2 linked regions of the Nothobranchius furzeri genome follow. The protein of the gene in region 2 binds, or shares a complex with, the protein of the main gene of each other region. Links are inferred from orthologs where the notes say so. Each region holds a gene or a part of one and is shown on either strand. Other genes may lie near its edges.

Region 1 (4,250 bases), on a different chromosome or scaffold from region 2:
AGTCTTTGCAGCAAGCTCCTCCAGACAAACGTCTGGATCCACAGGCATCGACCTCGTGCATGCCTTTAGGATGGCCACTCGAGCCTTAACACACAAAACGATGCATGTGTCAAAGTAGGTAATCAAGTCTAAAAGTTTTTCCTGTACTTTGGTGTATTTCAAGTCTTTTAGCATCATAATTTACCTGTTGATCAGGTGGTGGGACATAGATGATGTGGTCCAGCCTGCCAGGCCTGAGTAGCGCACTGTCTAAGCAGTCGGGTCTGTTTGTGGCAGCTACCACCATCACATCTTTGTTGCACACCTCCTGGCTGTCCAGCTGTGAAAGAACAAAAACGACGTATTACACAAGTCCCACTGTGCTGAAGCGGTGTGATGTCATCAGCATCATACGACCTCCTCTGTGTGAGTCTCCTGCACTCCCTCTGTCTGGAGGATTTTTCCTGTTCCTCTCCTTTCCAGCACCCTCAGGCCGATCCCGTCCATCTCATTCAGGAGAACAGACAGCAGGCGGGTCTGCACGCTGTTGGGGGTTTGATTGTTCGACCGCGAACCAATCAGAGAGTCTATCTCATCCAGGAACAGGATGCAGGGAGCACAGGAGCGGGCCTGGCGAAACAGCTACACGAGCACAAGCAGATTGATAAAAGCAGGTCTGATGTCTGCAGGTCGCTGATTTTAAAAGTTTATGTACCAGAGCTAAAGCTTTTTCTGAGTCTCCGACATAAGAGGAGTACAGGTCAGCCCCGCTGACAGACAGGAAGGCACAGTGGGAGAAGGAGGCGGCAGCTTTCACCAGCGTCGTCTTTGCACATCCTGGCGGTCCATAAAGCAGAACGCCATGGGGCCGACTCAGTCCTAGACGCACAAACGCCTCGGGGTACCTCATGGGCCACTCAATGCTCTTTAAAAGGCAATATGGAGAGGAGGTTTTGAGTGTTATAGTTTCAGTCACCCCCCCCCCCCCCATTTAGCTACCTGTCTTAGTTTGACTTTGACCTGATCCAGGCCTCCTATGTGCTCCCACAACACGGAGGACAGCTCCGTCCGGCCAAGGCTGCTCCTCAAGCTGGAGGGATGCACGGACTTCAGAGCCTCCAGGAAGTGTTTCATCTCCACCTCCTGCTTCCCTGAACCCTGCAGACATAACAACAACAACGAAGCTTAAGATGCATGTAGAGAATTCACAGAAACAGTTCAAATGTCATTGTTCTGCTTCAGTGCCAGTTTACCTTCACTTTTTGCCTTAAAGCGTGCATGGCCGCCTCCCTGCACAGAGCACTCAGGTCGGCCCCAACGTACCCTGTGGTGATTTGTGCAAGTTCTGTCATGTTGAGCCTGGGACACACAGGCATCCTCTCACACAGGACGGTCAGGATGGCCTTTCTCTGCTGCACGGTTGGAGCACCAATAATGACCTGGAGGAGAGACAAACACTCACAGCTCAAAGCTTTATTCTGTTTCTAATTCACTCTGATAAACACATTTAAAAAGTACCTCTCGGTCAAATCTCCCAGGCCTCCGCAGCGCTGGGTCCAAACTGTCAGGGCGATTAGTGGCTCCTACGATGAGGAAGCGGTCAGACCGATTCATCCCATCCATCAGTGTAAGCAGCTGAGCCACCAGCCGGTTCTCTGGTGCAGACGAGCCGGTTCTCCTGGGAAACAACGAGTCCAGCTCATCTAAGAAGAGCACACAGGGACCCTCTTCTGCTGCTGATCGAGCACGCTCAAACACAGCCCGCAGCGTCTCCTCGCTCTCGCCCGGTCGAGATCCTACCACCTGGAAGAACAGTTCACCACCAATAAATCAGATGTAAATGAGAACAGCCATTTCAATCTGCACTAAATAACCTTTCTGCTGGGTTAAACGTTGCTGTTTGTTTTGTCTCTAGTATAAAAGTATAGTATAAAAGTCTGTATAAGCCGTCAACATTAATAGTTTGCGCAACAGAATGGCATCTGAAAAAAATGTATTTGCCTCTTTGACTTTTCTTCTGTCATGTAGCTTTATTTAAATTCTTGACCATTTCAGTAAACTTATATATTTCCTGTGTGTAAAATATGACTTCCTGACAGTGTTTTATTGTTTTGCTACTCATCCATATCAGTGCAAACACACAGTAGTACCTCTGGCCCTCGGACCACCACCAGGCTGGCTCCCACCTCCCCAACCACCTTGTGGACCAACAGGGTTTTGCCGACTCCAGGAGGCCCGATCAGCAGAACGCCCCTGGGGCAGGACACCCCCAGGGAGCTGAGGGTGTTTGGGTACATCAGGGGCAGCTGCAGCATCTCTCTCAGAGAAGCACTCACCTACAAAGGAAAACGGTTTCAGCTTTTATCACTATAATAGTAAGTTATGCTCAAACAGCTGACCTCGTCCAGTCCTCCCAGTGGGGGCGTGTGCTGGTCCAGTAGCTGGCTCTTGTAATGCCTGAGAGTCTGGATCCCGGATATCTCCACAGCTGTTTTTGAGGTAACCATACCTGCACTGTCAGAGTCCGGTCTGATTCCGTCTATAACAACAAACCTGATCTCTGTATCATAGTCCTCCATGTTTACCACATACTGCTTGTGAACATAAACACCCTTCAGCATGTCCTTCACGAGCTCATGAACAACCCAAGCGGGTGTGTGCTTCCTAAAGCCAGCGCTCTGCACCACCACCGTTACCTTAACTCCCCTCAGTTTAGGGCAGGACACAGGTGTGAGATGGCGTGGCTCCAGACTCAGGTGCACGGGAGGCTGAGAGATCAAAGTGGGAGCGATACACTTCAGGTCCATCTGCAGGAACCCCTCCGCCAGGTCCGAACGGGGCCAGGCGGTACAGAGGCAGCTCCCCCCGGGAACAGACACCAGCAGAGGAGAGCCTAGTCTCAGGCTTAGCGCCGACATCAAGCCCGGACCCAGCCGGCACCTCTGAGAGCCCCGGTCAGCGGGGTCCGGCAGCAGAAGCTTCACACGCTGCATCGTCCGCCAACAACATGAAGCGGGTAAAGATTAGAACAAGACTTTGTGGTTTTCAGTAGATTATCCTGTTTACAGCCGCCGTCATTCCTGCTCAGTCTGCATGAAAAACTGAGGAACTGAGTCTGCGCAGTGGAAACGTGGGTTTGAGTCTGCGGCTGCGCAGTAGAGTGAAATAGAAAGTCACGCCCACTGACGTAGACAAGTGTTTATATCGGTTTAGAAACATTTCTATTGTCCAGTCCTCAGGTGCCTCAGGCGTGATGGACTGAGACAGTTTTTGACCGTGTCAGGTGAATTTGGGAATTTATGGACACTATATTTTGTGAAACAAGTTAATAGATTACAACTCTTTTATTTGAATGAAAAGACTGAGGAGCACTCATTTTACACGTGCGTGCCAAATTATCACCAGTGGTGAATGAGATTCTACTGAAGAAACTTTGGTTTTAAAATTAGAGCTGAATAAAGAGACAGGAAATAGAAAATCATTTGAATTCAGTGACGTGCGGTGAGGTTCATGACTGGGGAGGCACCGACTGCTCTCAAGTAAGACTTACATATATGATCCCGAAATAAAAGTTTGTTTGCTTTTGACCTTGACTTAAATATGTTATTGTTTTAAAGCTTCTTGGTTATGATTTAATCAATTTGGCCCCACACGGGCTTCTTTTTAATTCTGTTATTTGTCTGCAGTTGGTGTAGAACTGTTGTTACAAATTCATTTGCCCTAACATTATAATCTAGTCCAGTTTAAAGTGTTTAAATGTTGGAGTTTTAGAGCTGGACAAGTTCAAACGTGGTCAAGATGACAAAAAACTACAGCATATGCGTTTCAATAAACTCATTAGGTAAATGCTTCACAACTCCCAAAGTTACAGGATAATGCAGAATAATCAAGTCCGTTTCTGGTGTTTAACCCTCTGTCGGTGGTGTGACTACTGGTAGCCGTTTTGACAAGTTTTAGTGTTCACCTTTAAATTAAACCATATTTTACTGTTAATGCCTTGTTTGGTATCATTCTTTTCAGCAAAACCTCGTCTATGTGCATTTAGTCATTTCTTCATTTTGTCATACTGTATTAGCTCACTGAACCTGAAAGTAAACAAAATAAAATAAAAATCCGAGTTGAATAAAATGACATATTTATTGCAGTGAAAACGACGAACATTTGTAACGAACCTTTTTCAGCACTCAGAATAAAACTATTGGGTGTGAGTAAAACACAAAAAATGCATGTCTAATATAGCAAACAACAGTTAAGTGCAAGTTTTTTTTGCA
Region 2 (4,314 bases):
ATGAGGAGTTCCAGGATGACCGGACCTGAGTCATGGCATTGGTGAAGACAGAAGCATTTGTTATGAGATGTTTTGCTGAACATGTGCAGGATTTCATACCCAGTTTCTGATTCCTGCTGCTCTTCTGTAGGACAATCATAAAAACTTCTCTAATGCAGGTCTACACCCTAACCATCGCTCCCACGGACCACAGGAGGGTTCACTACAGCAGGCCAGTCTAGAGTGGGCGATGGCCCGTCTCCAGCAGCAGAGCCTCTAGTCCAAGTCTGGTTGCTGCTGGGATGAAAGGCTGGTGGAGCCAACAGGACAGATAGACCTTGGAGAGGTCAGAGGTCATGGTGTGGGCGACTTCCTGCAGAATCGTCTGCTTCAACTTCAGCTCCTGACTGAAGGCAGCCAGCAGGACACCAGACATCTCCTCTGAAACAGCAGACAGACCATATTAAACTTATTGGTTCAGTGGATTCATCAAAGGTTGGAAGACAATTGAAGTTATTTTCTAATGTGTGTCCAGACATCTGCATCTCCACCGCCAAAGGAACCTGCTGCTCTCATTCCAGAGGACCACCGGGAACACCAACTCCTCCACAAGGAGTGGAGACGTGGGTGATGACTGAACAGGAGGTCTTTGTTATCATCAGAGTTCTAGTTAGTGGATCACTCATCAGAACGTCTGAGGTCACAGCATGAAAGCATGCGTTTGTGATGGTAGCAGCATCAGATTGTTGCCATAGAGACAACTGGACCACCTCATAATCAGCATATACTCCTCCTGCTCAGTTTATGATGCCAGGTGTTGGTAGTTTTCCCCGTGGAAGCAGAACCCCGTCCAGGTGACGTCAGCGTGTTAGCTTCAGGTGGACCTACCAAACTCCCGGGTCTTCCAGCTGAGACACAGAGGGACACGTCTTCCTTCAGGACCAAACTGAAACTCCTCCAGCTGCAGAACGCCACGCTGTATCTCCACCAGGTGCTCCATCTTTTTCACCACAACAACCTGAGCAGAAGAAACACGTGGCTGGAGTGAACCAGGGTTACGTACTGAAAACTAAATGAGCAGAAGTCATTTATTTGACGTGAGATTGAATTAAACGGTCCCAGACCAACCGCAGCTTTCCACACACAGCAGCTGTTTATCAGGTTAGAAAAACTATTTTATTCTGAGACTCAACATATAAACTCCTGATTTATGGAACCGTGCCAGATGAAGGTTAAATGAAGCATCACCATTCTGTCAACGACATCCTGCAGTTTGAGGCATTCATCCTGCAGCTCCGCAGCTCCAGCCACCTGCTGCGCCTCAGCCGATGTGGACTGTGACGGTGGTGGACACGTGTCCAACACCAGCAGATCTCCCTGAGAACTGAAGACATAAACATCACCACAGCTGATGATCCCTCTGATTTATGAGTCTTTAAAAACCGACCGCTTAGAGCTTAATGTAGACAAACGAGTAAAGCTCCGTCTTATGATTGCTCTAAAGAAAACGAGTTATCTCCACCCTTACTCATCTGGATCCCAGAGGGTATCTAGTGTGTGTGTGTGGGGGGGGGGGGGCTAACTTAGAGAAAAATAACCTAAATAACAAACTCACTGCCTCATGTTGACGATACTTGCTGCCAAATTGAATCCTTCGTCGTTCAGCCTGTCCCACCTGAGCATCAGGTTGTGCCAGTCAGCGGCGTTGTCTCTGATCTTCCTTGCACTTCCTGTGATCCAGGTGCACCTCCTGTTTGATGGGGTCGCTGAGGTGTCACAAGAATCACCTAGAAACCGTGAATTTGTGTTATTTCTCCTTTCATGCAGTGAAACGGAGCACACACACACACACACAGAAATGATTTGTTTGTCATACAAAGATCTGCTAAACTAGCTTGGGTAGACAGGTTTGTCCCCCTTAAAGAGACATTTGTCCTTTTGGTTTAACTTCACTTCACATCAGCCATCATCTGACCCGTTTGAGGAGTCATGCTGCAGCTGGTTGGGCCAAACTGAACCTGGACCACAGAAACATTAGCTGTCAGATGAGCTCACAAAGGTCAGGGGTATTAAAGGCCACGGCTCATAGACCGTCTCCAGGCAGCTTCATGGTCCTGGGACCTCAGCTGACAATTTTAATAAAGTAGGAGGTTGATGGGAATGTGGGCAACCACTAAGAACGTGGATCCGAGATGAGATCCACTCTCAGGTTGATCAGAAGGAAGAATCAGACAAACAATGCATCCAGGACTGTTGAAGCCTTTCTGATCCCACCATGAGGGGTTGAAGACCCAGGAGGATTCCTGGTGACAGAAAAACCCAAAAGAACAGACTAGAGATCACCAAAAACCACACTGACGAGCTTCAGGGAGAGCATCATTTTGATTGATGAGATGGAAATCGGCTCTAGAAACACTGTAGAAGATGGAGGAAGATCAGTTCTGTTCTGGACTCACTGCACCTGGACCAAGGATTCCTGAAAAGGTTCAGGGTCCAATCCCAGGACCACCAAGACCCTCTGGAGCCAAATCTACTGTCCAGAGTCTATCATCAGAAAACACAGCTAGGAACACCGAGAATGGATCAGAACCAAGCACTGGACTGTTCTGAACTGATCTAGATGCTGTTGAACATCTGTGATAAGAGCAGAAACATCTGGAGAAAGAACACCTGGAGCAGTGTGGCCACGAGTAATGGGACAGAATACCTGCGGACAGGAACGATCTAAATAAGTTGTCCTAGTGAATGTTGATGAGGCAGCTGGGTTCTGCAGGGTTTCATTTACAACCCTGCAGTAAAACATCCACACGTCATCAGAATGTTTTAACCCGGAAGCTGCAGGTTATTCAGACCTGAACAAAAACTACTTCACTAATCAAGAAGATCCTCACCTTCCATCTGATCCTGAAGTTCTCGCATAAAATCCAGCTGAATTATGCTGAGTCTTCTTCTTCTTCGACGTTTGTGGGTGGTAGCAGTGCAGCATTACTGCCCCCACCTGGCCTGGAGTGGACACACGTTTATCAAACAATAAAAAAGGAAGTATTTTTATTGGATCTGCAGCTGTGGACACTCAAATTCCACTACGCGGAGATAGTGGGATTTTGGGGTTAACTGTAAACACTGATCCGTCCCGTCTGCCGTCCGGGTGGACACTGAGGTATTTATGTTCCTCCGCCACCTCCACCTTCTCTCCCAGGATGGAACAAGCATTTAGCATGTTCCCGTTTCTTCTAAAATCCGCAGTCATCTCATGTTTTTTCCGTTTTTTAACACACTATTGCACTAGAGGCCCACCAGTGATCTGTGTCTCACTACTTAATGACAGACTTATCTGACTCCAAATATCACTGGCCTTTTTTAGTGTTTATTTCCCCCCAGGATGCTAGTTAATTAAAGAAGAGCATTAGAACCACCGAAAGAAAAGTCAGAATTATTTTTCACATTTATTTTTTTCCATTTTATATTTAATTATGTAAAAATTGTATTTAAATAGCAAATTCATTTATTTATTTACCTCATTTGGTTTCATTTCTGCTCTGTGACCAGTTGGTGGCGGTAGTGCACCAAGTACTTTCGTGCCAGCCGCCATAAAACATCAAGCAGAAGAAGAATCTTTCATTAGAAGATGGCGGACGAAGCTGGTGAGTGTCGAGCACGTTTTGTAAGCGACAGTCTGTGTTTAATTTATTGCTAAGTTTGAACATAATTCTGCTGAGTCAGGGATTTTATTAACAACACGTCCACGTGCACGTACAAGCGTGTTTTACGCAGAAGGAATCGCAGTAAAAAAAATTCCTAAGTTGGTCTATGAGGAGGTTTGGCAGCGTCTGAGCCAGTTAAAACAAACAAATCCCTCCACGTGTCCAACATGCTTTAGTAGTTGGGTTTAATTCAATAACAGAACTAAGGGTTTGCTCTGTGGACTCGTGTTTTCTTCATAAGCTCCAGCAGCGTTTAGTGTAGTTAACTTTGAGAGAGCGGGTTCTCGGTCAGTGGCCTGTTAGCTCCGCTAGCAGCCACGTGCGCTCCACCACGTGCTGCAGCTGCAGGCCACGTGGGCTCTATATCATTCATTTACAGTTTTCCAAATTTACCAAACTGCAACAGGGATTTAAATTTCTGTTCCTTCAGATAAAATACTTTCTTTCGGTCGTACTTTTTCCACTGAAAGGCCCTTTTGGGCTCAGAGTTGCACTGGAGCAGGGCCCATCTCCAGGGCCACCATGCTGCACGTGCTGCAGGTTTGCTGCTCCTGCACACATGAAGGTAATCGCCTGGATAAACCTGTTGAACACTCTTTTAAAAAGCAGGTGTAGTATGGTCCCTGGAGTT

The links.
Region 1: cinp (region 2) and afg2b share a complex: the UniProt entries of both Homo sapiens proteins name them as parts of the 55LCC heterohexameric ATPase complex. The link is inferred for Nothobranchius furzeri from reciprocal best matches to the Homo sapiens genes CINP and AFG2B.

The regions. Positions count from the first base shown.
Region 1 is NC_091749.1:43,208,357-43,212,606, reverse strand, and holds the start of afg2b (ATPase family gene 2 protein homolog B), read right to left. Parts: upstream 3,109-4,250; 5' UTR 2,973-3,108; coding exon 2,379-2,972; intron 2,316-2,378; coding exon 2,130-2,315; intron 1,783-2,129; coding exon 1,498-1,782; intron 1,419-1,497; coding exon 1,233-1,418; intron 1,138-1,232; coding exon 979-1,137; intron 905-978; coding exon 695-904; intron 622-694; coding exon 397-621; intron 320-396; coding exon 185-319; intron 85-184; coding exon 1-84. UniProt on the Homo sapiens protein: ATP-dependent chaperone part of the 55LCC heterohexameric ATPase complex which is chromatin-associated and promotes replisome proteostasis to maintain replication fork progression and genome stability.
Region 2 is NC_091758.1:16,265,649-16,269,962, reverse strand, and holds the start of cinp (cyclin-dependent kinase 2-interacting protein), read right to left. Parts: upstream 3,027-4,314; 5' UTR 2,899-3,026; coding exon 2,871-2,898; intron 1,767-2,870; coding exon 1,595-1,766; intron 1,364-1,594; coding exon 1,228-1,363; intron 998-1,227; coding exon 868-997; intron 421-867; coding exon 218-420; 3' UTR 1-217. Other genes in the region: H/ACA ribonucleoprotein complex subunit DKC1, read left to right, coding at 3,608-3,623. UniProt on the Homo sapiens protein: Component of the DNA replication complex, which interacts with two kinases, CDK2 and CDC7, thereby providing a functional and physical link between CDK2 and CDC7 during firing of the origins of replication.